Notamacropus eugenii: one gene and its partners. The protein of the gene in region 1 interacts with the protein of each later gene in a biochemical or structural test. Links are inferred from orthologs where the notes say so. Each region holds a gene or a part of one and is shown in the gene's direction. Other genes may lie near its edges.

Evidence for each region.
Region 2: the proteins of RAN (region 1) and NUTF2 form a complex in vitro, tested with the Homo sapiens proteins (3 studies listed by BioGRID, with this or other methods). The link is inferred for Notamacropus eugenii from reciprocal best matches to the Homo sapiens genes RAN and NUTF2.
Region 3: the proteins of RAN (region 1) and RCC1 form a complex in vitro, tested with the Homo sapiens proteins (6 studies listed by BioGRID and IntAct, with this or other methods). The link is inferred for Notamacropus eugenii from reciprocal best matches to the Homo sapiens genes RAN and RCC1.
Region 4: the proteins of RAN (region 1) and RANGRF form a complex in vitro, tested with the Homo sapiens proteins (2 studies listed by BioGRID). The link is inferred for Notamacropus eugenii from reciprocal best matches to the Homo sapiens genes RAN and RANGRF.

What each region holds. Positions count from the first base shown.
Region 1 is NC_092875.1:46,255,113-46,263,082, forward strand, and holds the start of RAN (GTP-binding nuclear protein Ran), read left to right. Parts: upstream 1-4,961; 5' UTR 4,962-5,038; intron 5,039-5,179; exon of another isoform or gene 5,180-5,945; intron 5,946-5,963; exon of another isoform or gene 5,964-6,129; intron 6,130-6,628; 5' UTR 6,629-6,638; coding exon 6,639-6,674; intron 6,675-7,132; coding exon 7,133-7,217; intron 7,218-7,301; coding exon 7,302-7,427; intron 7,428-7,970. UniProt on the Homo sapiens protein: GTPase involved in nucleocytoplasmic transport, participating both to the import and the export from the nucleus of proteins and RNAs. Switches between a cytoplasmic GDP- and a nuclear GTP-bound state by nucleotide exchange and GTP hydrolysis.
Region 2 is NC_092872.1:696,159,854-696,167,411, forward strand, and holds the start of NUTF2 (nuclear transport factor 2), read left to right. Parts: upstream 1-4,553; 5' UTR 4,554-4,989; intron 4,990-5,999; exon of another isoform or gene 6,000-6,135; coding exon of another isoform or gene 6,136-7,020; exon of another isoform or gene 7,021-7,558. Other genes in the region: THAP11 (THAP domain-containing protein 11), read left to right, coding at 6,136-7,020. UniProt on the Homo sapiens protein: Mediates the import of GDP-bound RAN from the cytoplasm into the nucleus which is essential for the function of RAN in cargo receptor-mediated nucleocytoplasmic transport.
Region 3 is NC_092876.1:69,629,712-69,637,453, forward strand, and holds the start of RCC1 (regulator of chromosome condensation), read left to right. Parts: upstream 1-4,724; 5' UTR 4,725-4,801; intron 4,802-5,121; exon of another isoform or gene 5,122-5,167; intron 5,168-6,182; exon of another isoform or gene 6,183-6,475; 5' UTR 6,476-6,511; intron 6,512-6,770; exon of another isoform or gene 6,771-6,973; intron 6,974-7,042; 5' UTR 7,043-7,079; intron 7,080-7,145; exon of another isoform or gene 7,146-7,346; intron 7,347-7,742. UniProt on the Homo sapiens protein: Guanine-nucleotide releasing factor that promotes the exchange of Ran-bound GDP by GTP, and thereby plays an important role in RAN-mediated functions in nuclear import and mitosis.
Region 4 is NC_092873.1:77,545,385-77,552,152, reverse strand, and holds RANGRF (ran guanine nucleotide release factor), read left to right. Parts: upstream 1-4,578; 5' UTR 4,579-4,697; intron 4,698-4,858; 5' UTR 4,859-4,866; coding exon 4,867-4,943; intron 4,944-5,037; coding exon 5,038-5,154; intron 5,155-5,315; coding exon 5,316-5,469; intron 5,470-5,706; coding exon 5,707-5,792; intron 5,793-5,989; coding exon 5,990-6,122; 3' UTR 6,123-6,264; downstream 6,265-6,768. Other genes in the region: SLC25A35 (solute carrier family 25 member 35), read right to left, coding at 6,700-6,768. UniProt on the Homo sapiens protein: May regulate the intracellular trafficking of RAN. Promotes guanine nucleotide release from RAN and inhibits binding of new GTP by preventing the binding of the RAN guanine nucleotide exchange factor RCC1.

The sequences.
Region 1 (7,970 bases):
ACAGAATACCAGAATTTCCAAAGTGGAAGGGACCTCAGTATCCATCTGGTGTAACCCATACCTGAAAAAAAAAAATCCCTTTTAGATAAAATGGACTATGTTTTTAAAACCTGTATAAACAAAATGAATATAATTACAATTAGAAAGGAAACAACTAAATGGGCAAAAATCTTAGCGGCAAGTTTCTCTAATAAAGATTTTATATTCAAAATATTTAAGGATCTGATTTAAAAATCTATGTATATACAAGAACTATTCCCCAACAGGTATTAGGATAAAAACAGGCAGTTCCCAAAGGAAGAAATCCAAGCAATCAACAACCATAATAAAAAAAAAAACAACCCTTCAAAATCACTCATAATAAAAGAAATACAAATGAAAACAGTTCTGAAGTTCTATCTCACATCCATCAAATTTTAAAAAAGATTGAAAAGATGATAGACTTAAAAAGACAAAAAAAAAAAAAGAAAATGGCAGATTTTGGAGGAGATGTAGAAAAACATGCTGAATCATCTGTTGTTGGTATAGCTGCAAATTGTTCAGCCATTCTGGAAAACAATTTAGCACTATCCCTATAAAGTTACTAAACCATTTTTTTACTCTTTGACTTATGATATCACTATTGGCCTATATTCCAAAAATGTCAAAGGAAGTAAGAAAAGACCCATATATTAAAAGAAATACTAATAGTAGCTTGATTTGTTCTAGTGAAGAACGGAAACTGAAGGAATGCCATCCACTGTATAATGGCTCAATAAATAATGGTATTTGAATGTAATAGAATGTTATTCTGTCATAAGAGGTAATGAAATGAAAGGTTTCAGAGAAACTTGAGAAAAAAAAAACCACAAACTTGTATAAATGGATTCAGAGTGAAGTGAGTAGAACCTAAAGAACAATTTGCTCAATGACCACAACAATGTAAAGTAGAACACACCTTCAGGGATCACTAACCCAACTTCCACGTAAGCAGGCTGGAAACCCAGAGGACAGTTGATTATCTTTCATTCCATGGTTCTAGGGGTAATTCTGAGGTATTAGGGATTTTTCTAGTACTATTTCTCTTGAGCCCCCATCAGTGTACTCCCCATTGCTTAACCAGTTAGTATCAATTAGCAAGTCAGAGTTAATTAACTTTTTAGTTAGGGGTACTATATTTACTAAAGCTGTATAGTAATAATAATTGGCCAAAAACCCCAAAACATTCCCCCCAAAAGACTGGGATATATTCACCCACAACTATATATAGCATCTAGGGGAAATTAGGTTAAACTTTAGAAAATATATATGGCAAAGGGGTAATTCACAGTTCCTTGATAGATGGAAGTCCTTTCTTTCCCTTCCTGGAGTCCTTCTGCAGTTCACTTGAGGTGTGCTCTGAACTCTGAGGGTTGGGGTCCTTTTAGAGTCCATTCGTAGCAGGGCTTCATGTCTGAGCCTGTTGTGTTTGTCTCAGCTCAGGGACCATTAGTTACAGAAGTGAGTGCAAAGGATTGTTGTTATGCTAAGTTCAGAGTACAACTTGCTTGCTGGGCTTTAGCTCTGCAGAACGTGACATCTCCTTATATCTTGATATAAGGAAATTTTTTTCTGATATCAAACCTAAACATCATTCTTGACTTCTCCAGGATCTACTTCTGACTCTTCTGACATCCTCAACCATGCCATGGTAGCCTTCTCACCCTAGAAATTCTCTCTGCCTCTTCTTCTGATTGGTCAACTCCTCCCCAATCCTCTATTTTAAGGAGAGTGCCCAGGCCAGTCAGGTTGTCCTTCTTTTCTGGGCTCCACCCTTGACTCTCTGGACTTTCTCCATCATGCCTAGACCCTGGTACCTTCTCAGCTTCTTTCTATACATTGTTATTGCCTTCCTTCAGGGCAGGAACTATCTTTCCTAATGCTGGTATTTGTATTTCCTGCACTAAGCATAGTATATGTTTGTTTAAAGCCAATTCTTTCTTATATAGTGGATTGAACTACAATAGGTCCCTGTCCAATCTCCACTTAATGACTGTTTTTTGGACCCTCCTGGGTGAGAGGGTCCTCCTAGAGTGAGTCTCAGTGGTAAGTGTTGCTCTTTGGAACAGCAACCCTGAGGGCCTTACCCTCCCAGCTTGACTTTTTTTTATTTTTCTAATTAAAGGGGCCTTCCCTTGACTACTTAAAGAAGCCTATTCACTGAATGGGCATTACCTCACTCTAAGGGAGTACCAAAAAAAGCCTTAGCCTAAAAGGGCAAGCCAGGGTCTCCCTTTGCATCCTGGGCCATCTCCAGTCATCCTGATGAATATCAGGTCACTGGATCCAGATGGCTTATGGGGAGAAAGTGTGACCTTGCACAGCCCTCCTGCACTCAAGTCAAAGTCAACTACAAGTCATGTCATCATTTTCCTGATGTCATGGTCCTCTTTGAAAATGAAGGACAAGTACAGCAACAACTAAGCATAGTGCCTAGGACATAGTAGGAGTTTAATAAATGTTTGTTGATTTCAGTTTGCAACTTTTACCCAATGCTTTTAGTTCTACCTTCTAGGCATGCAGAACCCCGTCTTCCCTGTGTCAGCCCTTCAGATATTTGAAGACAGATACCATGTCTCCTCAGGATTCTCTTATTTAAGCTAAACATACATGCTTGTACAAATAATATTCTCCAGTCCAGATTTTAATTTAGCTTCATGTCCAAAGCATTTGTATTTCCTTGTTACCTCTCAGAATTTCTGGCTTCTTTCAAGGCTCAATTTGTGTCATTTCCTAGAGGAAATCTTCCCTGATGCCCCTGATCATTAGTGTTCTATCAATCTCAAAAAAATCATGTGTGTATATACTTAATAAGTCCCCACTCTGCCTCTTGTAAATTCCTTGAGGGAAATGGATTGGGTTTTGTTTTCTCTTTTTAATCCCACCATTTAGCATGATATTTTAGACATAATGGACACTTAAAAATATTTCTTGGAGTAGACTGGATTGTTGGATTTGCCCATGGAGGAGGGGCAGCACCCTCTCCCAGAATTTCTATCTATGGCTATCTGGCCATTGAACAAGTTCAAAATAGAATGACTACTTGTTGGGAATGTTGTTTCTCTGGTCAATTACAAGTTCCTCTACCAGTGTATTCCAGATTCTCTAGACTTTTTACTGTGCATCAGCCACCTTCTCAGCCTTGAAGTTTCACTAGAGTCAGTGGCTTCCTCACTCTGGAACATCCCTTTGTGCTAAGACCCTCTTTTCTCATTGGGGAGTTCCTTTTGAAACCTCCGTTTTGGGAAAGTGTCCAGGCCAGTCATCCTTCCAGCCTCTCCCAGCTCTACTGGCTCTCCAGACTTTACCACCATTCCTTTAACTCCCAAAACTTTTGTCTTGCCACTGGACTTTGGTGACTCTAGAAGAGAGTGCTAATGCTGCAACTTCAGTTCTCAGATTCAATTCACACACAAGTGAAGACATCACCCTGTGATATTAGTCCTCTTGCAAAACAAGGACAAGCAACAACCACCATCTCCCTGAGCATATACTTTATCCCTCCCCCTCCTTTTTAGGCTGATTTTATTTTTTATCTTCCCCCACTATAATGTGAGTTCTCTGAGAGTAGGAACCTTCAGCTTCACTTTATATGCCTAGCACTAACAGGGTCCCGCACATATTAAGGACATAATAAAAGGTGCTTGATTGACTGATTTGTTTTGACAAGATGTCTTGAAGGTTCCATGAGAGGAAGACTGGTATGATAACAGCTAATATTTATATAATGCCTTCAGGCTTGCAAAGTGTTTTACATGTATTTTACATTTGAGCCTTACCACAACCTTGTGTTTATAATCTTATATCCAATTTGTAAATAAGGAAATTGAGACTCAGAGAATGACAGTGGAAAGAATTGGACCATTCATCCATCATGAATTCAAATCTCAATTTGATACTTTTTCTTATCTGTAAAAGTGATAATATTTAGGCTATTTTACAGGGTTGTTCAGCGAAAAGTGTTTTGTAAACCTTAGTGTTATATAAATGGAAATCATTATTGTATAGAATGTGACCTCTTTGTGGTCAGCAACTGTCAGTTTTTAGTTTTGTATGTCCAGGACTTAGCACAGTATCTTACAAAGAGTCCAGGCAGCTAGGTGGCACAGTAGATAGAGGACTTGAGCCCTTTCTGAGTCAGGAGGACCTGAGTTCAAATATGACCTCAGACACTTAGTAGCTGTGAGACCCTAGCCAAGTCACTTAACCCTCATTGCCTCAAAAAAAGAGATTTTTTAAAAAAAACCTGCTCTGTGCCAAGCGTCTCATCCGATCCTCACAACAAGCCTTGGAGGAGTCTGAGGCAGACAGAGACAGGTTAAGGGGCTGGCCCAGAGTCACACAGCCCGGTGTTTGAAGCCACACTTGAACGCAGCTCTGGGTCCCCAGGATCCACCCTCTGCACCCCTAGCTGCCTGGATTTCTTCCAGCGCTAGGGCTGACCCTCATGGCTGGAGGGGCAGAGGATTCACCCATCCAGACCCTCTCCCTCCCCGTCAGACCCTTTACGCAGCCCCGAACGTGCCCGTGTCCAGCATGGTTAGGATGGGAGTCACTGCAGCTGGACCTGGGCTGGCTGGGTGGCTCAGCCCCGGATGAGCGCATCAGCATTCATCTCCAGCACGTGCACCCTCCCCGCTCTCCATCTACCGGGGGTGAGCCATCCCGGGGCCCAAGCCGGACTGGGCGAAGCTCCTTGGGGGAAGGCGGCTTGGCTCCTCGGAGGACTGCCGAGCCTTTAAATCCCTTGGAGGAGAACCAGCGAGGGTCATCGAGGCGGGCGTGGGGGGCAGCGGGAAGGAGGCCGGGCGAGCCTCCCTGACTCAGTTTCCCCTTCCGTGACGCGAGGGCGCCGTGCCCTCCACACAGGCCGCGCTCCATCAAGGCTTGGGCACGACCTCGCTGTTAGCGAAGGCCGAACCAGAGGGTGCGGATGTTGTCAGCAATAACACCGCGGCGCGTAGGGGGCGCTCTGCGAAGCGCTTCGCCCCGTCTGACGCCCACGGTTAGCTTTATTCTGGTTAGTGCTTTGCGTCTCGGCTTTTGCGGTTTCCTGGAAGGTTCAAGCTCGGACCCTAAAGCCCGGCAGACATCGGGCCTGACGCAGGAGAGGCCCTCGCGTCTCCCGTTGGCGGGAGCCCACCTCCCTCCAGAGGCGGTTGGGGCGCGCGCTCCCAGCAGGTCCTTTGGGGCGCATGCGCACGAGCCGGCTGCGCGCCGAGGCGGGGGCGAGAGCGCGGTGAAAGGTAGGTGGGGCCGGGAAAGAAGGAACTAGAGCTCGAGCGCGCTCCCGCGGCTGCCTCAGCAGGGCCTGGGGGGGCCGCGTGCGCATGCGCACACGCCAACCGGGAGCCGAGGTGGGACCGAGGCCAAGCGCCAGAGCGCGGTAAAGGTAAGGTAAGACGGCATGGATAAATCTCTCCACCGCGGTCTCGCGGTCTCGCGGCATGGATAAATCTCTGCCAGGCTTTTGAGAAGCGCATGCGCAGGGGGGGGAAAGCATGAAGGCGAGAGCGCGGTAAAAGCTTAGCTGGGCGGGGGTAGAAGGGATTAGAGGAGTGGGGAGCGTTCTCGTTTGAGGTGGCGCATGCGCCATAGTCCGCCGCAGCGCTCCCGATTGCATTGTAAAGCCCAAACGTCGGCGCGCCCCCGGTCTGTCAGTCCGTTTCTCTCTTCCCGCCCCCGTCCCCTAGGCCCCGCCCTCTCTCCCTTTTTTGGGGACAGCCGGTAACGTAACGTCGACTTGGGCGCGCGGCGCCCGGAGCACGTGGGGGCACGTTGCGCCGTTGCCCCGCCCCCCTCCGCTCCCCTCGGCCCCTCCCTATTCCGCGCGCGCGGCGGCGTCGGCTGCGTCTCCGGGTATTTGAATCGCGCTTCCGCCATCTTTCCATCGTTCAGTCAGGCGGAGACGGAGACGCTTCTGGAAGGTAGCGGCGGAGTGGGGCGCGGGGGGTTGGCCCGGGCTGGGGAAGGGGGGCCGGGCGGGCGGGTGTTGGACAGGAAGGCATCGAGGACCGACGCTGAGAAGGAGGCGGCGGGCCGGGCTCCCCGTCTCTCCTCCTAGGGGGGTGGGCGGCCGCGGCGGACCGGGCCGGGCTTGGCGCGCTTTGTGTGAGGAGGCCCCGGCCGCCAGGCCGTGCGGAGGCCGCGGATCGTGAGGCAGCCGGGGAAGGGGCGGGAGAGGCTGCGAATGCGGTGCGGGTGCGGTGGGGGGGGCGGCCTAGCCTTCCCTCCCCGCTCCTCCAGCCACTCCCGCCCCTCCCGCCGCGGGCCCCATGACCAGGCGGTTTTCCCGGGCCCGGTCCGGCCTCCACCGCCCCTTTTTGGCGTCTCCTGGAGACGCCCTTCGGGCCCTGACGGTTGAATGAACCCGAGGCTCGGGGGAAAAAAAAGGGCCGCCGCCATTAGCGCCTCATTCATCCCCCTCCTCCTCGCCGTCGGCGCCCCACGCGGGCGGGGGGAGGAGCCGCGGCCTGGGCCGGGGATGAATGGGCCGAGCAGGGGCGCGGAGGGGGCGCTTTGTGGGGCCGCGGGGCACGTGGCGGGGAGGGGGAGCCCGAGCATGCGGCCTCGGGTCCGAGGGCCTGACGCGCTTGTGTCTCTCCCCCAGAACCATCGCGATGGCCGCCCAAGGAGAACCCCAAGTGCAGTTCAAAGTACGTAACTCCTGGGGGGGGCCGAGATCGCCGAGGTGGGGGCTGGGGCGGCTCTTGAGGACACAGGAAAGACCGTTGGATCCCAAGGCCTTGTGATGAGAAGCAGAGTTTGCACGCCCGTATCCCAGCTTACATAACAGGCCTTGAAATAATCTTTATAAATTGATTACCTCCTAAACTGTAGTAAGGCTTTTTCATCCAACAAGGAACTAGTTAGTATTTGCCAAATGAATGTTCCAAAAAAGTATTTAGATGATTTAGTTGATACATAAAACAGTTAAATGTAACCTGAAAACGGTCTGATACTTGATTACTTAAACTGTGGTAGCTCTCTGAATCCACCATAGTATGTGGAAATGGATGTTAAGACATTTAGATGGTATTGTTTGATACATGGAATGGAGAATGTTTGTGTGTGTTTTTGAGAAGTCCACCTAAAATATTTTATTTTTCAACAGCTTGTATTAGTTGGAGATGGAGGTACTGGAAAAACCACATTTGTGAAACGTCACTTGACTGGTGAATTTGAGAAGAAATATGTAGGTATGTATCTTTTTTACAAGTTAGTTGCACCAATTTCAATAAAATAAAATCAGTGAACTAAGTCAAAACCTTTTGCTGTTCCAGCCACCCTGGGTGTTGAGGTCCATCCTCTCGTGTTCCATACTAACAGAGGTCCTATTAAATTCAACGTATGGGATACAGCTGGCCAAGAGAAATTTGGTGGTCTGAGAGATGGTTATTACATCCAAGGTATGTATACAACTGTTTTGCATGTTGTTATATCAGCTGTATGTTGCCAGAAGTTTTTTTCAGATATGTGTATGTATAAACATTTTTACAAGTGACTTCTGGTCTTTGGGGAGCTCCTGTGTTTAATAGAGGACTGAGATTTGAATCTCAGCTGGTCTGCTTGGATATACCAAATCCAAGATGTTTGATGATAGGTAAAATGAAAAGGGTTCAGCTGAAGTTCCTTTCCTTAAGATCTAAAATGGCTATGACCTTATTAAAACAGCAGAAAGGAACCTCCATATATTTTGTCTGAGGTATTAAAGTTGTAGCATAATATTTCATTGGTTAGTCATGTAACATTTAACCAAGTTGTTTCTAATAGGTAAACTTTTATATTTGAATTTTTGAAAGGTACCATGTCAGTGTGCATAGTTGTAAAAATCTTTACACTTTGAAAATAAACTAAATATATAACAGTAAGTGTTGGAGCAAAAATTATAGGACTTAGAACTTGAAATTGGATTTCTCTCAAGCTTACACTGAAGTCTAGAGTGTTTAAGC
Region 2 (7,558 bases), on another chromosome or scaffold:
CAAAGTTTCTCCTTTCCATCTGGTCTAAGGTGAATTCAAGAGACTTCAGTCTGATAATAACAATAGCTTACAGTAATCTATAGTTTTAAGGTTTACACACATTATATCAGCTGATTCTCACAACTGTGAGGTAGCTGCTATTATTATACCCATTTTACAGATGAGGAAACTGAGTCAAGAGGGGCTAATGACTTACTCAGGATCACACTTCTAGTAGTTGATGGAGGCAGGGTTCAACCTCAGGTCTTTCTGACTCCAGGTCCAGAACTTTACTTACTATGGACCACTTAGTTCTCTCATTGCCCTATTCCTTTCAGAGTATGGGGCTAGGCAATGGATCTTAACTAGACTGAGGCATTTTCCATTGAGATACCTTAATCCATTGCCAGGAACATTGCCAGTTTCTTAACTAAGTGGTTAATTCTTAAACACTTATAAAGTTTATAATTTAAACATATAAAATTTATCATTTTAAAATACTTTAATTTTATTGAAAGGGAGACAAGGAGCATATATGTCTGCTTTCCACAGTAAGTTGGAAGCAGATTGTGAGGACTTTAAATGACAAACTGAAGAGTTCATATCTTATCTTCAAGGTAATGGGGAGACACTGAGGTTTCTGAACTGGGAAGAGATGTGGTCAGACTTGTAGTTCTGGAAGATTGTTCCGGCATCAGAGTGAAGAATGGAATGTTTGGAGACAGCCTGAAAGGTGCAATTAGGAGACAATGACAAGAGTCCAGGTGAGAGGTAATGAGGTCCTGAATCAGGGTGATGACTTGGCAACGGAGAAGATATGTAAATAGATGGAGGAAAGGATGATCCAGAGTATGTGAGCCAGGAGAACTAAATGGGTTAATCAGGGAAGAATAAGCTGGATAAGACTTCAGTTGGAATCTCAGATGCCATTTAGTTAAATCCTCCTCATTTTGCAGTTGAAGAAACTGACTCAAAAAGTTCTAAGGTCACACAGGTAACATCAGGGGCACAGTTTGAATCCAAGACCTCTTTTGGACAGCTTTTCACTGTACCTCACTGCCCACCTCCTTTGAGAAAAATTGAGTAAATTCTGAGATGAAAATACTTGAGGTAAATTGTCCAGTCACTCTCTGCTATGCTTTGGGATTAGGGACTTCTGAGAGTTATGTTTGAATGTTAATTAACTGATTAAACAGTTTCTAGCCCTCCAATGAATTTGATTTTCTTCAGTTGGCTGGGGGAGAGGGGGGGATGCTGTTGTGTGCTGGAGAAAGAATCTGGGGACCACCAGGGTTTTAGTTAACTGTTTGACACTGGGCAGGTAGATCCCTTCACCTCTTTGACCAATGGGAACAGATGATTTCCAAGGGCTGGTTAAGGAACATTCCTGGTTTCTGTGGCTCCAATAGCAACAGCAGCAGCAACTTCTGGAACCAGTGAAATCACTCTGAAGGTGATATGTATAAGATTCCTAATTTTTCTTCCAGTCCCCACAGAGCCTTTTATTTGGGAAGTACAAAGTACTAATTGGTGGAAAAGAGGATTTTTAAGGGTGGAGAAATTAAGAAAGTTGCATGCACAATGAGATGTAATATGCAGAGCAATTGTGTGGTGGGGTGGAAAAACAATTTGTATTATGGGAGATGTAGGAATTGGTCTTAACTTTGGGTTTAGAATATAAACAACACACTTGGGGAAAAAAAATAAACCGTATATCTTAAAGGAGTCTCTTCTAAACATTCTGGAAGGGCTGACAGAGATGGTCCCAAAGACTCTACCGGATTCATCAAAATTCTTTTAAAATTGCATTAGATTCTTTTCTGAATCTTGAGGGGCTGGGACCAAACCAGGCACAGGCTCTGCTTCCCATTTCTTGTGACTATATAATTTTCTGTCTCTGTGAATAACCATTTTCATGATGAACTTAGGAGGGGTGCTTTGTGAAACACTTAAAATGAAAATTATCCTGACAATTCAGAGTATCATTCCCAGAACTCATTAGTCTCTGAGCTTCTTGAGTTCAGGTAATTGGTTTAAATTTTATTTTGTTTTCTGTTTGTATCTTTGGAGAATCTGTGCTATCTATCTCTCCACTTTACAACCATTTAGATAACAATCATGTTACTGACACATATTAAACAAGAAATGATTGTTGATGTAATTTAATGTGAAACATGTAATAAATGACTGTTGGCTTAACTAACATGTAAATTTTTCATCGCCTGTGAAAAAGCTTCCCTTCCAGTTCCAGTGGGTTTTTTTCCCCAAATTTATTAATTTGTTTTCAGTTTTCAACAATCACTTCCATAAATCCCCTCCCCAGGACGACATGCAGTCTTATATGGGTTCTACATGTACATTTCCAGTTGTGTTTTGATTTGAAATAAATCTGTCCCATATCTGATTTACATTGTAAATGAAATACTTTTTCTGCTCCCTACCTTGAATAGATCATAGACGGGCACCAAAGCAAGTTTTCTCTGGATTACTAGTGTGAGAAAAAGCCTAATAATACCATTGTTGGAAAAATTATAAAAGGCAGTTTCACCTGTGAAGATTTGTGCAAAGTGATCCACAGGGAAATGAGCAGAACCTGGAGAACAATTTATACAACATATGACACTATAAGGCAAATAACTTTGAAAGATTTGAGTCCTCTAATCAATGCAATGACCAACTCTAACTGGGAAGGATCAGTGAAGAACCACCGCTATTCACCTCCTGAATGAAAGGTGATGAACTCAACATGCAGAATGAGGCATACATTTTAAAATATAGTCAATGTGGCAAATTGTTTTGTTTGACTACACATTTTTGTTACAAGGGACTTGGTTTTCTTTTTTAATTGGGAAGAAGGAAGGGAAAAATAATTTTAATAGAAAAAATGTTTTTATAAAGGACAGCCTCTAACATGACAAAATGGGAAAATGATACACGTTGGAGAATGGGAAAACTGGAATACTAATGCATTGTTGGTGGAATTGTGAACTGATCTAACCATTCTGGAGAGAAATTTGGAACTATGCCCAAAGGGCTATAAAACTGCTCATACTCTTTGATCCAGCAATGCCACTACTAGGTCTGTATCCCAAAGAGATCATAAAAATGGGAAAAGGACCCACAAGTAGAAAAATATTTCTAGCAGCTCTTTTTGTGTGGCAAAGAATTGGAAATTGAGGGGCAGCTGGGTGGCACAGTGAATACAGCACTGGTCCTGGAGTCAGGAAAACCTGAGTTCAAATCTGGCCTCAGACACTTGACAATTACTAGCTGTGTGACCTTGATCAAGTCACCTAACCCCAATTGCCTTGCTTTCCCCCCTCAAAAAAAAAAAAAAGAAATTGAGAGGATGCCCACCAACTGATGAATGGCTGAACAAGTTGTAGTATGTGAAGATAATGGAATATTATTGTTTCATAAGAAATGATGAGCAGGCTGACTTCAGAAAAACCTGGACTTACATGAAGTGATGCTGAGTGAAATGAACGGAACGAGGAGAACATTGTACTCAGTAACAGCAACATTGTACAATGACTGGCTTGGATAGATTTAGCTCTTGTCACAATGCAATGATCTAAAACAATTTCAAAAGACTCATGATGGAAAATGCTATCCACATCCAGGGAAAGAACTGTAGAGCCCCAACGCAGATCAAAGCATACCATTTTCTCTCTTTTTTTTTGGTTTTTCCTTTTGTTTTGATTCTTCTTTCACAACGTGACTAATGTGGAAATATGCTTGATATAATTGTACATGTATAGCCTATATCAGATTGCATGCTGTCTGGGGGAGGAGAGAAGGGAAGAAGAAAATTTAGAACGGAAAAATCTTACAAAACTGAATGTTGAAAACTAAAAATTAATTTAAAAAAAGAGAGCCACTGATCAGGACAATGATCCAAGATGGTACCCAAAGATCCATGATTACAAATACCATCCATTTTCAGAGAGAGAACTGATGAACTCTGAGTGCAAATTTAAGCATACTTTTAAAAATTTTTCTTGGGTTTCATGTGTGTGTGTTTTCTTTTGAAACTTGTCTAATGTGGAAGTGTTTTGCATGCTTCACATGTATACTTGAGATATTGCTTGACTTCTCAAAGGGTAGAAGAGGGTAAGAAAGGAGAGAATTTGGAACTCAAAATTTTAAAAATTGTTAAATTTTTTTACAAGAAATGGAGAAATACTTAATGAAATAAATAAAAATGAGAGTCTAAATCCTCTTATTAGAGGCTGGGTTACCCCAGAAATGAATCTTGTATGGACCTGACTGCCTGAATCCAAAGGAGAAGGGTCCTTTAATGAAGAAGGAAGATCAAATGCCCCAGTCTGGTGGGGGTAGGAGCAATTCCATACTGTTAAAAAAAAAACCCAAAACGAATGAATGAATGAATGAATGAATGAATGAATGAATGAAGACCACAGTGTTCAGATCACAGAGAGTTGGATGAAAATCTCATGAGTCTTTAACTCTTCCCCATTCTCCTGGCCCCTTTTAGCTAGCTGTCAATACGGCAGTACACCAATTAAAATCTAAGCTCCCTCACAGTTTTCAAAAATCGCAAATCAAGCCTCCTACTGAATTCAAAGAACCAGACCAGCCACAAGTACCTAATGGGTCTCCTATAGGGAGCGGAGGACTGGAAGTCTCCTGGAGCCAGGGGCTGGGCTGACCCAAGCGGCACCTGGTCTTGGTCCTGCGGAACCGTGCCCTGTATCCTCGCTATCTTTGGGTTCAGATAGACGGGTCTTCATCTGAGCAGGGCTGGTCTGGGGGCACTCCGTGCCCAGCGGCCTCGGTCCTCCCGGACTCTGCTACTTTGTAACCATTGTAGCGGGGCGTGTGCGTTGTAGCCATCTCCATCTCCCCACGCTGACCAGACCGAAGCTCCCTCTGGGCGAGGGTGGACATTCAGCCAAGGCTCGGGGCTTAGCACGCTGACCAGCCCGAGGCTCCAACGCCCCTCCGACCCTACCCCAGGGTCTCTTGAAACGATCCATGAGAAAAGAGGTAAATGGGCCGGGAGGGGGGGGGGCAGAAGACACAGCCCGATGATTTTGGGGAGCCACAGCTGGGTGGGGCGGAGAGTGATGGGAAAGGGCAGGAAGATGGACGAGGACAGGGGGCGGGGCCCTGGACCACAAGGCAGGACCGGCCCAGGGTCTGGCACGCAGCAGGGACTTAAGAACTGCTGGTCACTTGTTGGCCGGGTGAGTGCGAGTCGCCTCTGCCCTCTGGGCCTCACTTGGCCCAGGATGGTTTCCAAGTCCTGCAGATGGGGGAGAGGGCGGGCGAAAGACCCGGGAAGGACTGGGTCGAGGAATCATTCCCGCCCAGCCCCCGGCGGGACACTGGCCCGCCACCTCGAGGCGTGGGCTTGTTGACGAAAAGATGCGCTCCCCAGAGCAGAGGCGGGGTCGCAGCCGCGCGCACTGGCCGCCGAGAGTTGTAGTCCCCCGCCCTGAACTGGAGGGCGGGGCGCGCGGGAAGCTGTGCATTGTGGGAAAAGCAGTTCTCCAATTGGAGTAAGGCGTTCCGCAAGGAACTCTAAGTTCATCCGTCCAGAAACATCTCTTGTTCCGCCCGCCAGAGCTGGAGCTTCGCCCCGGTGGAACACCAGTCGGATAGTTTTTCCCGGGCGAGTGCCGAATCATTCTGACCTCACCTCCAGCTTTGACCCCGGAAGCAATGCGGCCAACGGCGGAAGCGCGCGACGCGGTGCATTGTGGGAGGCGTAGTCCGACCTCCAGGGCGCTTCTTCGTCTCGGCCCCGGGACTGACTGACTGACTGACAGGCTCTGGTGGCTGCGGGGACTGCCGGCGGGCGGGTGGACGGCGCGGGGGCCGTCGGGGAGCGTCCCCAGGAGAGCGAGCGAGGCTAGGAGAGGCCCGGCTCCACTCGGGGCGGGGCGAGACGCCGACGCCCGGCCGGTGGGGGGCGTAGGGGTCCGGGCCAGCGGCGAGGCCTCGCCCGTCGGTGGGTTGTCCCGGGGTCCCGAGGCCCGGACCCGGGGGTGAGGCCGGGCCCCGAGGCGGAGCCCGAGGCCGGGGTCTCGGCCGAGGCCCTCCGAGCTTTCCGGGCCGAGCGCTTCGGCGGCGGCCAGGGCGGCGGCCGAGGCCCGAGGCCGGGGCCGTCGGAGGGCCGGGGCCGCCGCGATGCCGGGCTTCACGTGCTGCGTGCCGGGCTGCTACAACAACTCGCATCGGGACAAGGCGCTGCACTTCTACACCTTCCCCAAGGACGCGGAGCTGCGGCGCCAGTGGCTCAAGAACGTGTCGCGGGCCGGCGTCAGCGGCTGCTTCTCCACCTTCCAGCCCACGGCCGGCCACCGCCTGTGCAGCGTCCACTTCCAGGGCGGCCGCAAAACTTACACGGTGCGCGTCCCCACCATCTTCCCGCTGCGCGGCGTCAACGAGCGCAAGGCCCGGCGGCCCGGGGGCGGCGGGGCGGCGGGGGCGGCCGCCCGACGGAGGCAGCAGCAGCAGCAGCAGCTGCAGCAGCAGCAGCAGCCGGCCCAGCCCCAGCCGCAGCCGCCGCCGGCCGCGCTTCCGGCCCCCTCGCAGGCGTCCCTGGTGTCCGCCTCGGCCGCAGTGCTGCTCACCCTGCAGGCGGCCGTGGAGAGCGGCCCCGCCGCCCCCGCCGCGCCCCCGCAGCCCCCGGCCGGGGACGACGTGAAGCCCATCGACCTGACGGTGCAGGTGGAGTTCGCCTCGGCCGAGGGGGCCCCCGCCCCAGAGCTCGGCGTACCCGCGGCTCCCGCGGCCGCCTCGGGGCCCAGGCTGGTGGTGGTGGGCGAGGAGGGCTTCCCGGACACGGGCTCGGACCACTCCTATTCTCTGTCCTCGGGCACCACGGAGGAAGAGCTGCTGCGGAAGCTGAACGAGCAGCGAGACATCCTGGCCCTGATGGAGGTGAAGATGAAGGAGATGAAAGGCAGCATCCGCCACCTGCGGCTCACCGAGGCCAAGCTTCGGGAGGAGCTCCGCGAGAAGGACCGGCTGCTGGCCATGGCCGTTATCCGAAAGAAGCACGGCATGTGAGGAAGGCCCCCGTGTCCTGCCTGCCCCCTGGACCAGACTCCCGAGTCACGGCCCGCCTGCCGGGGTAGGGCTCACCCCTGCCACTCCTGGACGGGACCCATCCTCTTCCTCTTGCTGTGCTGTTGGACTCCTGGCCCGGCATCCGCCGTCCTGGACTTCAGACGGAATGAGCTCGGGCGCCTCACTTGTGGCCTCTTATCCTGACTCTGACATTACTGTACTTGACCCAAACACCTTCTTGAGGCAGGGGCCTGGGGTGTCTGGGGCCCCCACGGTTCTGTGCATTTGTCATACCAGCTGGTATGATCAGGACTTGTGATGACCATTTAAAGAGATTTAAAGAGATCGCCGTTTGGAACCCATCCTTAGAGCCGTGGGCGGGGAGGCGGGCTCCGGGGAGCCCTATGTGGGGAACTTGACTTTGGAGTTGATCAGAGACAGTCCCTTTCTGTGTAGTGATAAAGGCAGAGTTGGGACCCAGGTCCCGAGAAGCATCTAATACTTATTCCCCCTTCCTCTTGTCCCTCCACCCTTCAGG
Region 3 (7,742 bases), on another chromosome or scaffold:
GCATCCTAGTGTTAAGAGAAAAACACAAATACCTTGGGGTGTGACTTCAGCTTTGTCAAACTTTGTTAAGATAAACAACTTCAAAGGCCTGTTTAGGAGAGGATATCTGTTATCCCGGTGATGGGACTTTTTCCTTATCTTAAATCACAGAGACATGCTATGGAAAGAAGATGCCCATAGCTTGGGATCATAAAACTCAACTGACGACACTTTGTTTACAATGTGTTTATCTAAGAGAACTCCTTCCTCATGGCAAAATATACTTAAGACAGTCAATTTCTGTACTAAGTCAGCCAGTTCTGATCCTGGCTCCATAGTGCTATGTTACCGTTTTCTTTATGGGGAATTGATTAATTAATTAAATCATAAAATGTATGCATTTAGCCTGTTGCCTTTTCTCTAACAAAGTTTTGAGGTCAGCACCTCTGATCACATAGGATCCCTGGCCACCCTTTATATCACTGGCTGTACTTTCATTAATTCTCTTTAGTTGTGGTGGGGAGTTTGGAATACTCCTCCCCATTGCTACTTCCTAGTTTTCCCCCTTCCTTCATCACTTAGTAACCTCTGTTCCTTGGGGTTCATGTTATCCATATCTGCCACCCAGTAAAAATTCTGGTAAGCTGTTGTCTACAGATCTCAAGTCACTCCCCTTCCTCCCCCAATGAGTTTAATAACTGCATTACAGTTTTTCTCTCCTCCCCAACTCTTGCCCTCATACTCAACATATAGATTGATTCTCCCTCAAATACCCTAAGTTTAGTGACTTTGGTGGGGCATAGTTCTAGGTTGTTTTCCAGAGTGCACTAGTTGTGAATCTGTGTGTTTTTTTAATTGTAGCCTCTCCAACAATTGTTAAAGGTGACAAAAATTAAATAGACCTAACTAAGTATAGGTACATATTTATTACTCATGCCAGTGTAATAAAAATTATACTACCCAAATTGATTTAATTATTCATTGCCATACCAAACAACCACAGCTCCCAGGGTCATCTCTAGTCCTTCTGATCTATATCTTGCCACTGGACCCAAATAGCTCTGAAAAAGAAAGTGAGACTGGTGACTTTGCACTGTCCTCCCTCACTTAAATCCAATTCACTTGCATGTTATGGTATCACTTTCCTGATGTCATGGTCCTCTTCAAGAACAAAGGACAAATAACAACCTCTGTGAGTAGTAGTAGGAGCTGCTGACTAGAGACCCAACTGGAACTGGCCAGTTGGGCAACATAACTCTTCCTTCCTTCCTTCCTTCCTTCCTTCCTTCCTTCCTTCCTTCCTTCCTTCCTTCCTTCCTTCCTTCTTTCACCTCTCTCTCTCTCCTTTCCCTTCCCTTCTCTTCCCACTGTCCACAAAGGGTATCATACCCTTGCCTGCTAGTGCTCTGACCAAAGGAATGTAAATTTTGATCACTGAAACCTTGCAGGCTGTTTTGGGGCTTATGGTCTAGATTTTTTTTCATTAAGGACCACGCCTAAACCCAAATCACTCTGGCACTCATTGATTGGCCAACAATAGTCCCAGGCCAAGCCTCACTTGGTCATTATTTGAGCCCTGATTGATTCAGAGTGAATGTAAATAGTAATTGTTTCTGTTTTGGCCAGAAACTCTGAGGGCCTTTCCCTCCCAGATTGATTCATTTTTTATTCTCTGGTTCATTTCTTACCTAGCCTTAATCACTTATTGTGCATTTTTTCCATCAAACTGAGACCTGTTAAAGACCTTAGCTTAAAAAGGACAAGGTCTCCCACTGCATCCAGGGCCATTTCCAGTCATCCTGATCTGTATCTTGCCACTGGACCCAGATGACTCTGGAGAAGAAAGTCAGGCTGGTGACTTTGCACAGTCCTCCCTCAGTTAAATCCAACTCACTTGCATGTCACCTCTCTGATGTCATGGTCCCCTTTCGAGAATGAAGGACAAATAACAGCTAACCTCCTCACAAAAGCTATCTCCAATAGCTACCTCCACTTTCTTTCCTCACCCTCTTCTTCAGATCTTAAGATCTGGAGTCTGACCTTATCATTCCACCAAAACTGCTGTCTACAAAGTTACTAACAGACAACAACAATGACCTCTTAGTTGCCAAAGCCTTTTCTCAATTCTCATTTTCCTTTCCCTCTCTGTGGCTTTTCTGTTGATCACCCTCTCCTCCTTCATACTCACTTCTCTCTAGGATTTTGAGGTACCACTCTCTCCTGGTTCCCCTCCTACCTTACTAACCACTGTCTTTTCTTCCTGGATCCTCTTCCAAATCATGCCCATAGGTGTCCCACAGGGCTCCGTCCTGAGCTCTCTTCTCTTCTCCTTCTATACTACTTCACCTGGTGATCTCATCAGCTGCCATGGATTTAATAATCATCTCTATGTTGATGATTCTCAAATCTACTTTTCCTACTCCATCTTCTCTGCTGATCTCCAATCTCACCTTTCCAACTGCCTTTCAGACATCTCAAACTGGGTGTCCAGGAGACATCTTAAACTCAATATCTCCAAAACAGAACTCATGATCTATCCCCCTAATCCCTTCTTCCTTGCTACCTTCTCGGTTATTGTAGAGGGCAACAGCATTCTCCTCAGGCTCCCAACCTAGAAGTCCTCTTGTATACTGTTGACCTGAAAACTTTGTTAAGAAAAGGCAACATGGCTAAATGCATACATTTTATGATTTAATTAATTAATTGATCAATTCCCCATAAAGAAAACAGTTACATAGCGCTATGGACTCAGAGGTGACTCTGACTACCTAGTACAGAAATTATCTGTCTTAAGTACATTTTGCCATGAGAAAGAAACTCTCCTAATTAAGCAAATCATAAATTCAGTAAGACAGGACAATTAACAAAGCAATGTCAGTCAGGTCTTGAGATTCCAAGCTGGGTAAACATATGTCCCAGGTGGTAAGGAAATCCCACCACTAGTAAGTGGCAGGCTTCCTGCCCCAAACAGGTAACTGACACAGGAAAGGGCAAACAATGTTCAATAGAAACCCAGGATGCCTATTTTTTCTTTACCATTAATATCCCATAACATAGTATGTGTCCATTATTCAAGATATGTCATAACATCGTATGTGTCTATAGATAATAAGATATAAAGGGAAGTCCCATTATTCAATATATGTCATAGGTTAAAGGTCTCCCAAGGAGTGCAGAGTCAGCTTTGGCTGGCTTTTGCTGACATAGGAAGAGGCATTCTCTGAGTTTGCTTCAGAGAGAACAAAGAGATTATTCCAAAATTTTATATTAAACATTATCAATACCTTTACTATCTCTTACTCCCCGTATCCAAGTTATGGTCAAGACCTGTAGATTTCACCTTTGCACCATCTCTCCAATATGCTCCTTTCTTTCTTCTGACACTGCCGCCATTCTGATGCAGGTTCTCATCATCAAACACTAAAGCGATTGTCTTAAAACACAGATCCTATCCCCCCCCCCCCCACCTTACTCTATAACTATAAACTCCACTGGCTCCCTATTGCCTCCAGGATCAAATACAAAATTCTATTTGCCACTTGAAACCCTTCATAATCTCGCCTTCTCTTACCTTTCCATCTTCTTTATCCCTTACTCCCTGACATGTCCTCTTCTATCCAGTGACATTGGCTTCCTGGCTATTGCTACAACAAGATATTCCACCTCTCCATATTCTCTGGTTGTCCCCTATGCCTGGAATGCTCTCCCTTCTCAGCTCCAACTACTGACCTGCCTGGCTTCCTTTAAGTCAGGACTAAAATCCCATCTCCTACAGGAAGTCTTCCCCAACCCCTTTTAATTCCAATGCCTTCTTTCTGTTAATTATCTCCTATTTATGCTGTATACAACTTACTTTGGATGTATTTGCCCATTGTCTCCCCCTTTAGATTCTGAACTCCTTCAGGACAGAGACTGAATTTTGCCACCTTTTGTATCTCAAATTCTTGGCACAGTATAGGGTCCACAGAAGGCACTTAATACATGTTTATTGATGCATTATATATCTTATCTTCTTTCAGATGTAAGCTCTTTTCTATTTATATCTCCAGCCCATGGTACACTTTTTTGCACACAGGAAGAGCTAAATAAATGTTTTTTTCATTCATTCGTTTATAATAGAGTCCCTGACTTTAAAGTTCCAGGAGCCTCGAGCTCAGATCCTGCGACCCTGGGCAAGTTAATTTACATCTGTCTGAGTTTCCCCATCGGTAAAATGGGGATAGTAACAGCCCCTCCCACTCAGGGTTCCCGAGGATCAAAGGAGATACCTGTAAAGCCCTTGGCAAGCTTAAGAGGGGCAATTAAATGGAAGCTAATCCATGCTTGCACGAGGAGGTGTGGACCTGAATTAATAATCCTTGAGTACAAGGATTCTTTTATTTTCCTCTCTGCTCTTACAGCACAGTTGGCACTTAATAAATGCTTTCTTAAATGAACTGAAAGTCAGGGCTCTAAGGAAAAGAGTAACCTTCATTTTCCTCCACTCAGCACAAGGTAGGCGCCTGAGCTACAATGTAGCCAAACCACTTTGGCTCCCCGCCGCAAGGCGCACCTGGGAAACAAACTTAAAAAAAAAAAAAAAAGCCCAACCGAAGGAGCTCACGGACAGATATCTCGCGAGATTTCTCGATCCTGTCGTGCGACTGTCGCCATTTCTTTCGTCACTTCCGCCCCAAGCTACTTCGAACTCTCGCGGTGCGACGCCAAAATGTGCGCCTGCTCAGAAGCCGCTGCGCGCCCCAATCCGGGTATAAATGGGCGTGCTCAGGGGGTGCTTCTCTCTTTCGGCGGTGACGGTGGAGTTGTTTTGTCAGTCGTAGAGGTAAGTAAGGGTGTGGCTCTGTCAGCCTCTACCCTGGTCTCTCCGCATGCCTGCCCCCTGCCCCCTGCCCCCTGCCCCCTGCCCCCTGCCCCCTGGCTCCGGCTTTCTCTTTCGGATCCCCTTTTTTCTCCTTCCCTTTTTAGCTGCAGGAAAAGTTTGGCCGCCATGCGGCCGCCGCCAAGGCGCGTGCGCAGAGCCTCCCGCTCATGCCTGGGTCCCCATCCCACCCGCTCCCCGGGGCCCTCGAGCCCCATCCGCCGTCACCCCCGGCCGGGCCGGCGGCTGCCCAGCAGCAGGGGGCCGGCCGGTGCAAGGGGCCCGAAGCTGGGCAGGACCGAGTTCTAATCCGACCTCAGAATATCAAATGTGAGATAACGTTTGTAAAGTCTGCGGTACCTCCCTGGTACGCAGGAGGTGTTTAATGTTTATTCCTTCTCCAGGAAAGACTTGTTTCAGTTCGTTCAGTAAAGGCCCCTTAGTAACGCGTGCTAGCGTGCGTAGTGACTGGGGATTGATTCCTCCCCCCAGTGGTTCACGGCTGAAGAGTGGGAGGCACCCGGGGGCATCCAGCTGGTCTCTTAACCTCAGTGTCCACGTCTTTGTTAGGGGGTAGTAATATGCCGCAGATTGGGGGGAAGCACTAAAGTAATACGTAAACAGGCGGTGGAAGACGTGATCCCAGCCCTCAGGGAGCTTCCTTAGTCGCCAGGCTGCAGTGGGGAGGAAAGGGGCGGAAAGGAATGGCGTAGAAGCTGTTACACCGGTGGAGAAGGTGGGCACCGCGCCTCTGATAGGCTTCAGAAGTCGCTGGGTGCTGAGCCCATGCTGGGGAATGGGAGCCATGTGTGAAAACCACAGCCACGTGGGGATGTAGTACCCCCTATAGGGAGCAGTTAAGTACGGGTGGCTGTAATGGAATGTGTTAGAGTGGGATGGAGTAACTGAAAGAGCTTAAAGTGCCAGGAGAGACCTCTTCACAGAGACTGAAGTTTATTGATCAGGGGAGTGGCTTGATCAAATGTGTAATCTTTATGTAAGGAAAGAAGGGGGGGGGCACCTGGCAGTGTAAAAGTAACGGTTTACAGTGGCTGGACTCAGTACAACTAACCTTCAGATAGGATTTGACTCAGTATTTAGAGGAATCTTGTAAAAAAATTTCTACTCCGAATCCTCTTGGAGGGGCCAAGTGTTGTGGAAATCATTTCCATATCTCTACAAAGAAAAGTTTGTCTTGGAGCCCTTCTGCCATGGGTGGGATCTTTGGGCATGCTTAAGGGAATGACCTATGTTTGTAGGAAATAACTGATTGACAAGGCTATATGTACAAAATTCAGTGGGTCGTTTCAATTTTTGTTGAGTCAGTTAAATCTCCCTTGAATATCCAACGTGGATATCCTGGCTAGATGAGCCCAGGCTCTGTCCAGGTGGCGAAAGGGAGCGTAGGGCCCTTGCCCTAAGACGTACAGTCCCATTCCACAACGTTGGATATCAAGCCGGGCCTTGTGTCTGCACCTGCATATTCCTAAACCTTCTCAGAGTCTTTGGACTGTGACTGAGGAGACAAACCATGCAGGAAACAACTGTTATTGCTTCAGTAACTTGCACGCTGAACCTAGATAGGATATTTTTTTTGTTCTTTCTTGCTTTGAAAATCTCTTTCCTCTTGCTCTTTAGGGTTTTCATAACAGACAAGTCTGGAAAACAGCTGGGGTGAGTTGACATTTTCTTAAAGATGTGGCGCTATTAATAATTTCATTGTTATCTTTGGGAGGTATTTAAAACATTGCCTGTAGAAGCTGATATTTTTCAGTCAACCTGTGGAAAACGTATTAGTTAACTAGACATTGGAGTCATAGCACTTTCCCATAAATTGTAATTGGTAACTTAGCATCATCTGGAGTTGAATCCTCTACGTCGGATCATGTGTCAAGTTTTAGTTTGATGTTCCTTTTTTAATATCTTTCAATATCCAACGTGGATACCCTGGAGAGATGAACCTCTCCAGGCTGTCTGTGTGGCGGGAGGGAGTGTAGGGCTCTTGCCCTGTGACATAAAGTCCCATTCCACAACGTTGGATATCAAGCTGGGCCTTGTGTCTGCACCTGCATATTCCTAAACCTTCTCAGAGTCTTTGAACTGTGACTGAGGAGACAAACCATGCAGGAAACAGCACTGTCCCAGAGTATTGTTACATAGTTTGATGTTGGGATAGGACTAAATTATTCTTTCTCTTTTTTTCAGTATTGTCTTAGCGTGGAGTGTTTCTTCTTGACAATAGGTGAGTGATTCTTATTTTTTTCCTGCTCGGAGCTTGTCACTTGTCACTTGTCTTAAGTCATCCATTCCAACGTGGATATCCTGAGGATCACTCCCCAGGCTCTGTCCAGGTGGCGAAAGGGAGCGTAGGGCCCTTGCCCTAAGACGTACAGTCCCATTCCACAACGTTGGATATCAAGCCGGGCCTTGTGTCTGCACCTGCATATTCCTAAACCTTCTCAGGGTCTTTGGACTGTGACTGAGGAGACAAACCATGCAGGGAACAACTTGAATTTAACATAATTATTGCTGGTTATTGGTGTGTATTATTGGGGTTGTAAAACATGTTTGTTTTTTTTTAATTTTTTTAGGTAAGAACAGGATTTTAAAACATGTCTCAGCAGCTTGTGATGTTACTTGGGATCAAGTGGTCATACATATATGCTTTTATTGACCCAAGGCTGACCCCACCTTATATCTTGTGGTTTTAAAAATGGCTATTTCTCCAGTGAAACATGTAGAAGTTATAGCTCTTAAAGAGCATGCTTCAATGACTGTTACAGATACTGCAGAAGCTCTTTGTATAGGTAGGTCAAGTATTTCAAGAATCATTCAAGTGCACAACGAAACCGGATCAGTCTTCCCCAAGGCGCAAAGGTAAGTGTGGTAGAAAAAGGAAAACAAC
Region 4 (6,768 bases), on another chromosome or scaffold:
CTTCTATCATCCCTCCCTTCCCTCATCCCCATCTTCTCTTTTGTCCTGTAGGGCCAGATAACTTTCTATACCCCATTACCTGTATTTCTTATTTCCTAGTGGCAAGAACAGTACTCGACAGTTGTTCCTAAATCTTTGAGTTTCAACTTCTCTTCATCCCTCCCTCCCCACTCATTCCCTTTGGGAAGGCAGGCAGTTCAATATAGGCCATATCTGTGTAGTTTTGCAAATGACTTCCATAATAGTCGTGTTGTGTAAGACTAACTATATTTCCCTCCATCCTATCCTGCCCCCCATTGCTTCTATTCTCTCTTTTGATCCTGTCCCTCCCCAAGTGTTGACTTCAAATTGCTCCCTCCTCCCCATGCCCTCCCTTCCATCATCCCCCCCACCCTGCTTATCCCCTTCTCTGCTACTTTCCTATATTGTAAGATAGGTTTTCATACCAAAGTGAGTCCTGCACCCTCTTTGAACTTGTCTCCAGAAATGGAACTGGAAGTACTTGTTTCTGTTCTGTGTTGTTTGTCCTGTTTCAGGTGCTGGAGGTGATCTCCATTAGCCTGGGGTGTTTGAGTGACCTTTTGTCCAGGATTGGACTGGCTAGTGTAGCCAGCTGGACTAGCTCCAGAGAAGCCAGAGTGTCTGGCTACCCCCAGGGTTATTAATCTTGGGGTTGGGGGATGGGGAAGAGGCCCTCTACTCTACTGGAATTGAGCTAAGCTATAAACCTAATCTTCCCCTCTATAGAGACTGAGGTCATATAAGGAGGTCCACGAATTGGGGGAATAAATTTGTGATTATACTTTCTGAAGTAAATATTGCTTTGTCAAAGCTAATTTGACTCTCTGGGGGTTAAACAGAACTAGAGTACAAGGGAACACCATCAATGGAAGCTGGAGCCATTGCAGAGAACCTAAACCCCAAATCCCCATAAGTACCGGAGAACCGTGGGGGAAGAGCGAAATCTCACCTACCTGGACTTGACAGTGGGAGCGAGGGTAGTCAGTGTTACATCTGTATTTACTGTAACATCTGTAATGATTACTACTCACGCTTTTTTGTTTTCGTTCAGCTGAAGCATAATAGATTTTTGCTCCATCTCATTTTAACTGTAAATCTTTGGTTTTGTGACCCATGTTCCATAGAATCCCAACATATTTTGGGATTCTGTTTTTCAAGTAATTTTTTACATGATTCTCTAAGTATATCATCATATCTGCAAAGAGAGATAGCTTTGTTTCTTCTTTGCCTACTCTAATTCCTTCAATTTCTTTTTGTCTTATTGCTAAAGCTAACATTTCTAGTACCGTGTTGAATAACGAGTGATAATGGACATCCTTGTTTCATCCCTGGGATTGTTTTTCAAATCCATTCTTATAACTTTCATTTTACAATTTCTTCACATTCACAGTAAGGATTACTGTGAACCCCTATCCTGTCCTCTTTCTCCTCTCTTTACTTCCACTTTTTTAAAACCAGGAAAGTGCCTTCCCTCCTACTCACATGCTTCAGAATGAAGCTGGAGAAAATCATAATCCTGCTGACTGGGTCCACTACCAATTTAAACCTCACTGCTGCTAAACAAGACTATACACTTACACTCCTTCTAATTAACTTACTGTCCTACTCATCATGTAACAGCTCTTCCAAATCTTTTTATTCCTCCTCAAACTTCCCATAGCAACCCCTCTCCCCACCCTTCCTGCTGAGAACCTTGCCTTAATGTTAAAAAAAATTGAGGCCATTTGCCAAGAGCTCTTCTCCCCTCCCCCTCATCTTGCATCAGTCAAATGTTTTCCCACACTATACCATTACTGTCTCTCATGAAGTGGCCCTTCTTACCAAGGCACATTCTTCTACACACATTAGTGATCCTATCCCTTCCCATCTTCTCTAGCAGATTATCTGCCTCATTATCCCCACTCACTTATCTCTCCATCTACTGACTGCTACTCTGGTCTACAAACATGCCTCTCTCTGTCCCCTCTAGTTTTCCACCCCCCCCCCCCCCAAAAAAAACCCTTCATTTGATTGACCTAGCCATCCCCATTAACAATCATCCTGTCTTGTGGATAAATTCCTTGAGAAAGTGATCTGTCATTGATTCTTCCACTCCTTTCCTCTTACTCTTTTCTTACCTCTGTAGTCTGGTTTCTGACCTCACTATTTAACTGGAACTTCTCTCCCCCAAATTATCAGAGATCTCTTAACGACCAAATCTTAAAGCCTTTTTCTCAATCCTCAACCTTCTTGACCTCTCTGCACCCTCTAATATACAAACATATCAATGAGTACTATCCCAGACTTGAGTTAGGCCTTAGTGCTCCATTGAAATGAAATTAACTCATGAATGTCCTGTTTTACTAGGCAGACTGGTTCTTTCTTTGGGGCATTACTAGTCTTATAAACTGGTTTTGTATTGCCTACAGCACCTGGTATGGTACATTGAACATTGTAGACATTTAATTAAAGATACAACTTTATGTTTGTTGATTTCTACATCTATAACACTACTCTCAGATCGAGATAGATGGAGTGAATCCCATTCCTCTTTCCATTTTAGGTGCTAGGCTGAGAGTGGGGGTGTAGTGTAGAGGGGAAGCTGAAAAAGGATGATTTTGTCTTCTACCTTCTTCATCCTCTGCAGCTTCAGCTTTGCCTTGCTGTCTAGGTGCTTTGTCCTCCCCTCCTGTCCTACAAAGTTTAAATTCCTGAGATTAGAAGCTGAGAAGAGATGATAGAGGAGATACGGGATGGGGGCCTTAAACAGGTTTTCCATCCTCCCTCTACGCTCAAGCCCTTCAGTCAAGAAAACCAACATAAAAATTTGCTTCAAAGCTCTCATTTTGTCAAGTTTTTCTGAGAGCTCCAGTTAGAACTAGTTCAGTCTGGTACATGGCACAGGTACTCTGGGGGAGGCCTCAACCCCTCATGCTAGAACTGGGCAGGGAGTTGGGGCGGGGTTGAGGGGGGAAAGAGGTTTGTGCTTCATCAGCATAGCACCAAAGGTCACCTCAAGATCATGATTTCAGCTCAGATTTTCATCTTGTATAAATACAGTTATTTGGCTTCACAATCTCCTGGGGATGGGGGTGGACTAGAGGTAGGAGACCCTAGGAGAAGGAGGGTAGTACAATTTTCAAACCCGGTCTCCAGTGAAGCACACAAATGTTTTATTCCAGTTCTGACTCAGAGGCAGAACACTTCTTGGCCCGGAGAAGAGATGGGAAACCCCATCACCAAGATAAGAGTCAAAGAAGGGGCTTGTAGAACTGCAGACTGTGGGATTTTAAGGAAGGGGAAGCCATCTCTTGGACACAAGAAGATTAGGCCTCATATAGACTTCCCTAATGGGAAATGGGAAGAAGTATATTGGGGGTGGGGGTGGAGAAAGTTGAGATATAATTCCTGTCTCAACTCAAACACCCTAAACAGGGAAGGAAAAGGATTTAATAATATGGGAGCAAGGTGTAGAAGTTGCAGAAAGGCAACTTCATAATGAAATTCCTAATAATCCTAAAGTCTAAGATTTTTGAGTGAAGAGGAGTGAAAAAAGTAGTGGACTTGTAGCCAGGAAGACTTGGGTCTGAAAGACAGGTCTGACACTAGCTATGTAACCCCGGACAAGTCATTGAATCCCTTTGAGCCTTGGTTTCCTCATCTGTAAAATGAGGGAGGTGGAATATGTTGCTGTAGCCCTGTCATACAAATGGTAAATGGCAGGGAGGGGTTTGACCCTAGCGTCAGCAGCTCCAAGTCCCAGCGTTGTACGAAAGTGGAATTACAAGACAATTAACTTCTCCACTGTTACTTACAAGGATAGATCACCCATCTGGAGCTATGCCACTGGAGTCCAACCCCCTCCAAGTGGCAGACCCGTAATTCAAACCCAGGTCTCCTTGGACTCCAAATTCAGGATCCTGCGGACCCCATCAAGCTGAAGAAGAATGCTTTGACTTTCCTTTCAGCTGTGGGTGGGACGGGATGACCTTGGAAATCTTTGTTCCCACTCTTGGAACCTGGGTGTTCCCGTGCCCAAGTCCGAGGAATCCAGCCCTGCGGCCAGATCTGCACCGCCCCACTCTCCCACGCCTGCACTCCCCGTAGCGCTCCCGGGAAAGGAGCCGCGGGCATTACTTGGGTTACTCAAGCAATTAGTGGCTGGCGTCTCGGGTTCCAGGGACCAGGAAGGGGCGTGTGCGTTTGGAGCGCTGGGGAGGGTCCGGCACCTGGTCCCTTGGTTTCCTTAATCTCGCAGCTAGTCCCCGGGGATTAACTGATAAAAACTGGATACTATTCCGGCGGCTGAGGAGAGGCCTGCGGGAGGGGCACCGGCGTCCGGTCCTTCCGAACCAAGCGGAGAACACAAACGCTGAACCCGCAACGGCGTCCTGTCCTCCTACTCTTCTCAGCCTTTTTTACCTTAGCGGCAGCCTCTTTAAGAAGAGGCCAGGGCCGTGCCATGAGTGGCCCCCAGGGAGCCTGCCGTATACGTCACAAAACCAGAGACCCTGCTCATCTCTCCCATTGGTCCTCGGCAAGATATTTGACCCCACCGCCTCCTCCATCTTTTAGGCAGTTGAGTTTAGCCCGGCAGACCAAGGGGGGGGAGGTGGCGGCGCCCATTGGGTGGCTGGGTCGGGGGGCGGGGCCAGACCTTAAAGGGCCCCCAACCAAAGAAGAACGAAGACTACTAGGTAAGGAAAGAACGCGATGGCCCGGAGGATGAGAGAACATGTGCCCACTCTCCCCACCTGCCCCCGCCCCGCCTTCACGGCTAAGGACGCTGGCGGGGGGAGGGGAGGGAATGCATCGCTCCTCCACAAACTTTTTCCCTTCTCTCGCCGCCCCCTTACAGACCCGTCTATGGAGCCCAAACGAAATCATCCGCTGTTCGGGGGAGCCTTCTCCATCACCCTTCCTCCAGGGGCTCTGGACGTGAGGTCAGAGGTCACTGCCGGGTGTGGGGGGGTACGGGAGCCTGCGGGACAGCGGGGGGGCAGGTTATCGTGCTCATACTCGGCCTCTGCCCCTCAGTGATTTCCGGCCGGTACCGGACAACCAGGAAGTTTTCTGCCACCGCGGGACGGAGCAGAGTCTCATCGTGGAGCTCCTGGAGCTGCAGGCGCACGTGCAAGGAGAAGCAGCAGCGCGGTGAGCTCCTCCGCCGGGGGCGGGGGCATTTTTCTAGCCAATGGGAAAGTGCTATGAATTCCAGTGGAGGAGGAGGCGTGGCCTACGGGCCTCCTCTGCAGGGAGGGTGTGTCTGAAATTGTCACGCTCTCCCCCCCTTTCTTCTCGCCCTCCCCATCTAGGTACCACTTCGAGGCTCTGGGAGGGGTGCAAGGGACAGGGAGCGAGCAAGTCGAGGCTGTGGAGCCTCTCTCCCCCCACGCTCTGTCTCTTCGGGGCTGCCGGGAAGCCTGGGTCCTCTGTGGACGGCAGCGTGTGGTCAAGGAGAGCGAGGAGGTGAGGGCTTTGGGGTTGGCTAGGGAGAGTGGTCTGCGGGAGGAGGAGGGGGATGTCGAAGAAGACCCTGCGGGAAGCCCAGCCAGGGGCTGGAATGGGTGGTGGAAGGAAGAGCGGGAGTGGAGTTCAGAGGAAAGGGCTTCGAAGCCAGGGAAAAGGAGGGATGACCTTCGGGGTCCCGGCAGCTCCGACACTGGCTGATTGCACAATAATCTGAGCTGATTCTGCTGCCCACAGAATGAAAAGGATGTGATCTTACACCTGGCCTTGTTCCGATTGCCCCAATATGGGACTGACCTCCTGCTGACTTTCAATGAGCCGAGGTAAATGGAGCGTCTGGGCTGGATGACTGGGTCACTGATGGGGGATTGGGGAAGAGGGGAAGGCTGGGGGAATTCTTGCTGGTGGAGGAGCTGAAAGGAGGAGGAGGTGTGGGGTGTGGGAGTGGCAGGGGAAAATGCCTGTTTGCTGTGGAGGAAGAAATCGGAGCCCTGTGTAATCCTTTTATTCTCTTCCCCAGCTCTGGGAGTAGGCCACCCCAAGGCCATGAAGCCCAATGCCTCCCACCCTGGACCCTGGTTGACTTTGAAAGACTAGTGTCTTCCCTGACTCTCCTTGACCCCAGCATCTTTGGCCCACGGGAAAGATCCTGAACTGCCCTCTGCTGCTGGTGTCTGAATGTCTGGATTCCCCAACAGAAGCAAGGGATTGATGGTTGGGGTTTCCCTCATATCCCCTGTTCCACAGACAGACATAAGGCGCCACCTTTGCAGAAATAAACTTGCTTTATACCAATACAATCTCTGTGGCTTTGGTGGAGGGGAGATGGAGGAAGCATTTATACAATTTGAATCTAGAGGCAGGGATGAAAATAGGTCCCTCCAGTTCCCTTTGGTTTTGGGGGAGGAGATTTAAAGCTATGCATGGGAACTGGAAGCTAGCAGTCTGGGCAAGAAGAAAATATCCCTTTGATTGATTCAACCCTGAGAGTAAGGGTAAGTAAGTAAGTAAGCTGTGTATGATGGCAGGAGTGATGATGATTGGATGGGAGTGCCCCACATAGTGATTTGACCCTGAGAAAAAGGGTGTGAGGAGTTGGAGTGAATAAGTGATTATCAGTCATTAACACCTAAAAGTATGAAAGGGTCCAAGAAATATCAGATCAAGGGGGAGAAAGGTAATCCTTCCTAAATGGAGTGTGTTGAGGGAAAATTTGGAGTTGAGTAGTGGTCACTGATTGTATTTCTGGTAAAAGAATCGAAGCTGATCCCAGAAGAAGAGAGAGAGGATGGTATGGGG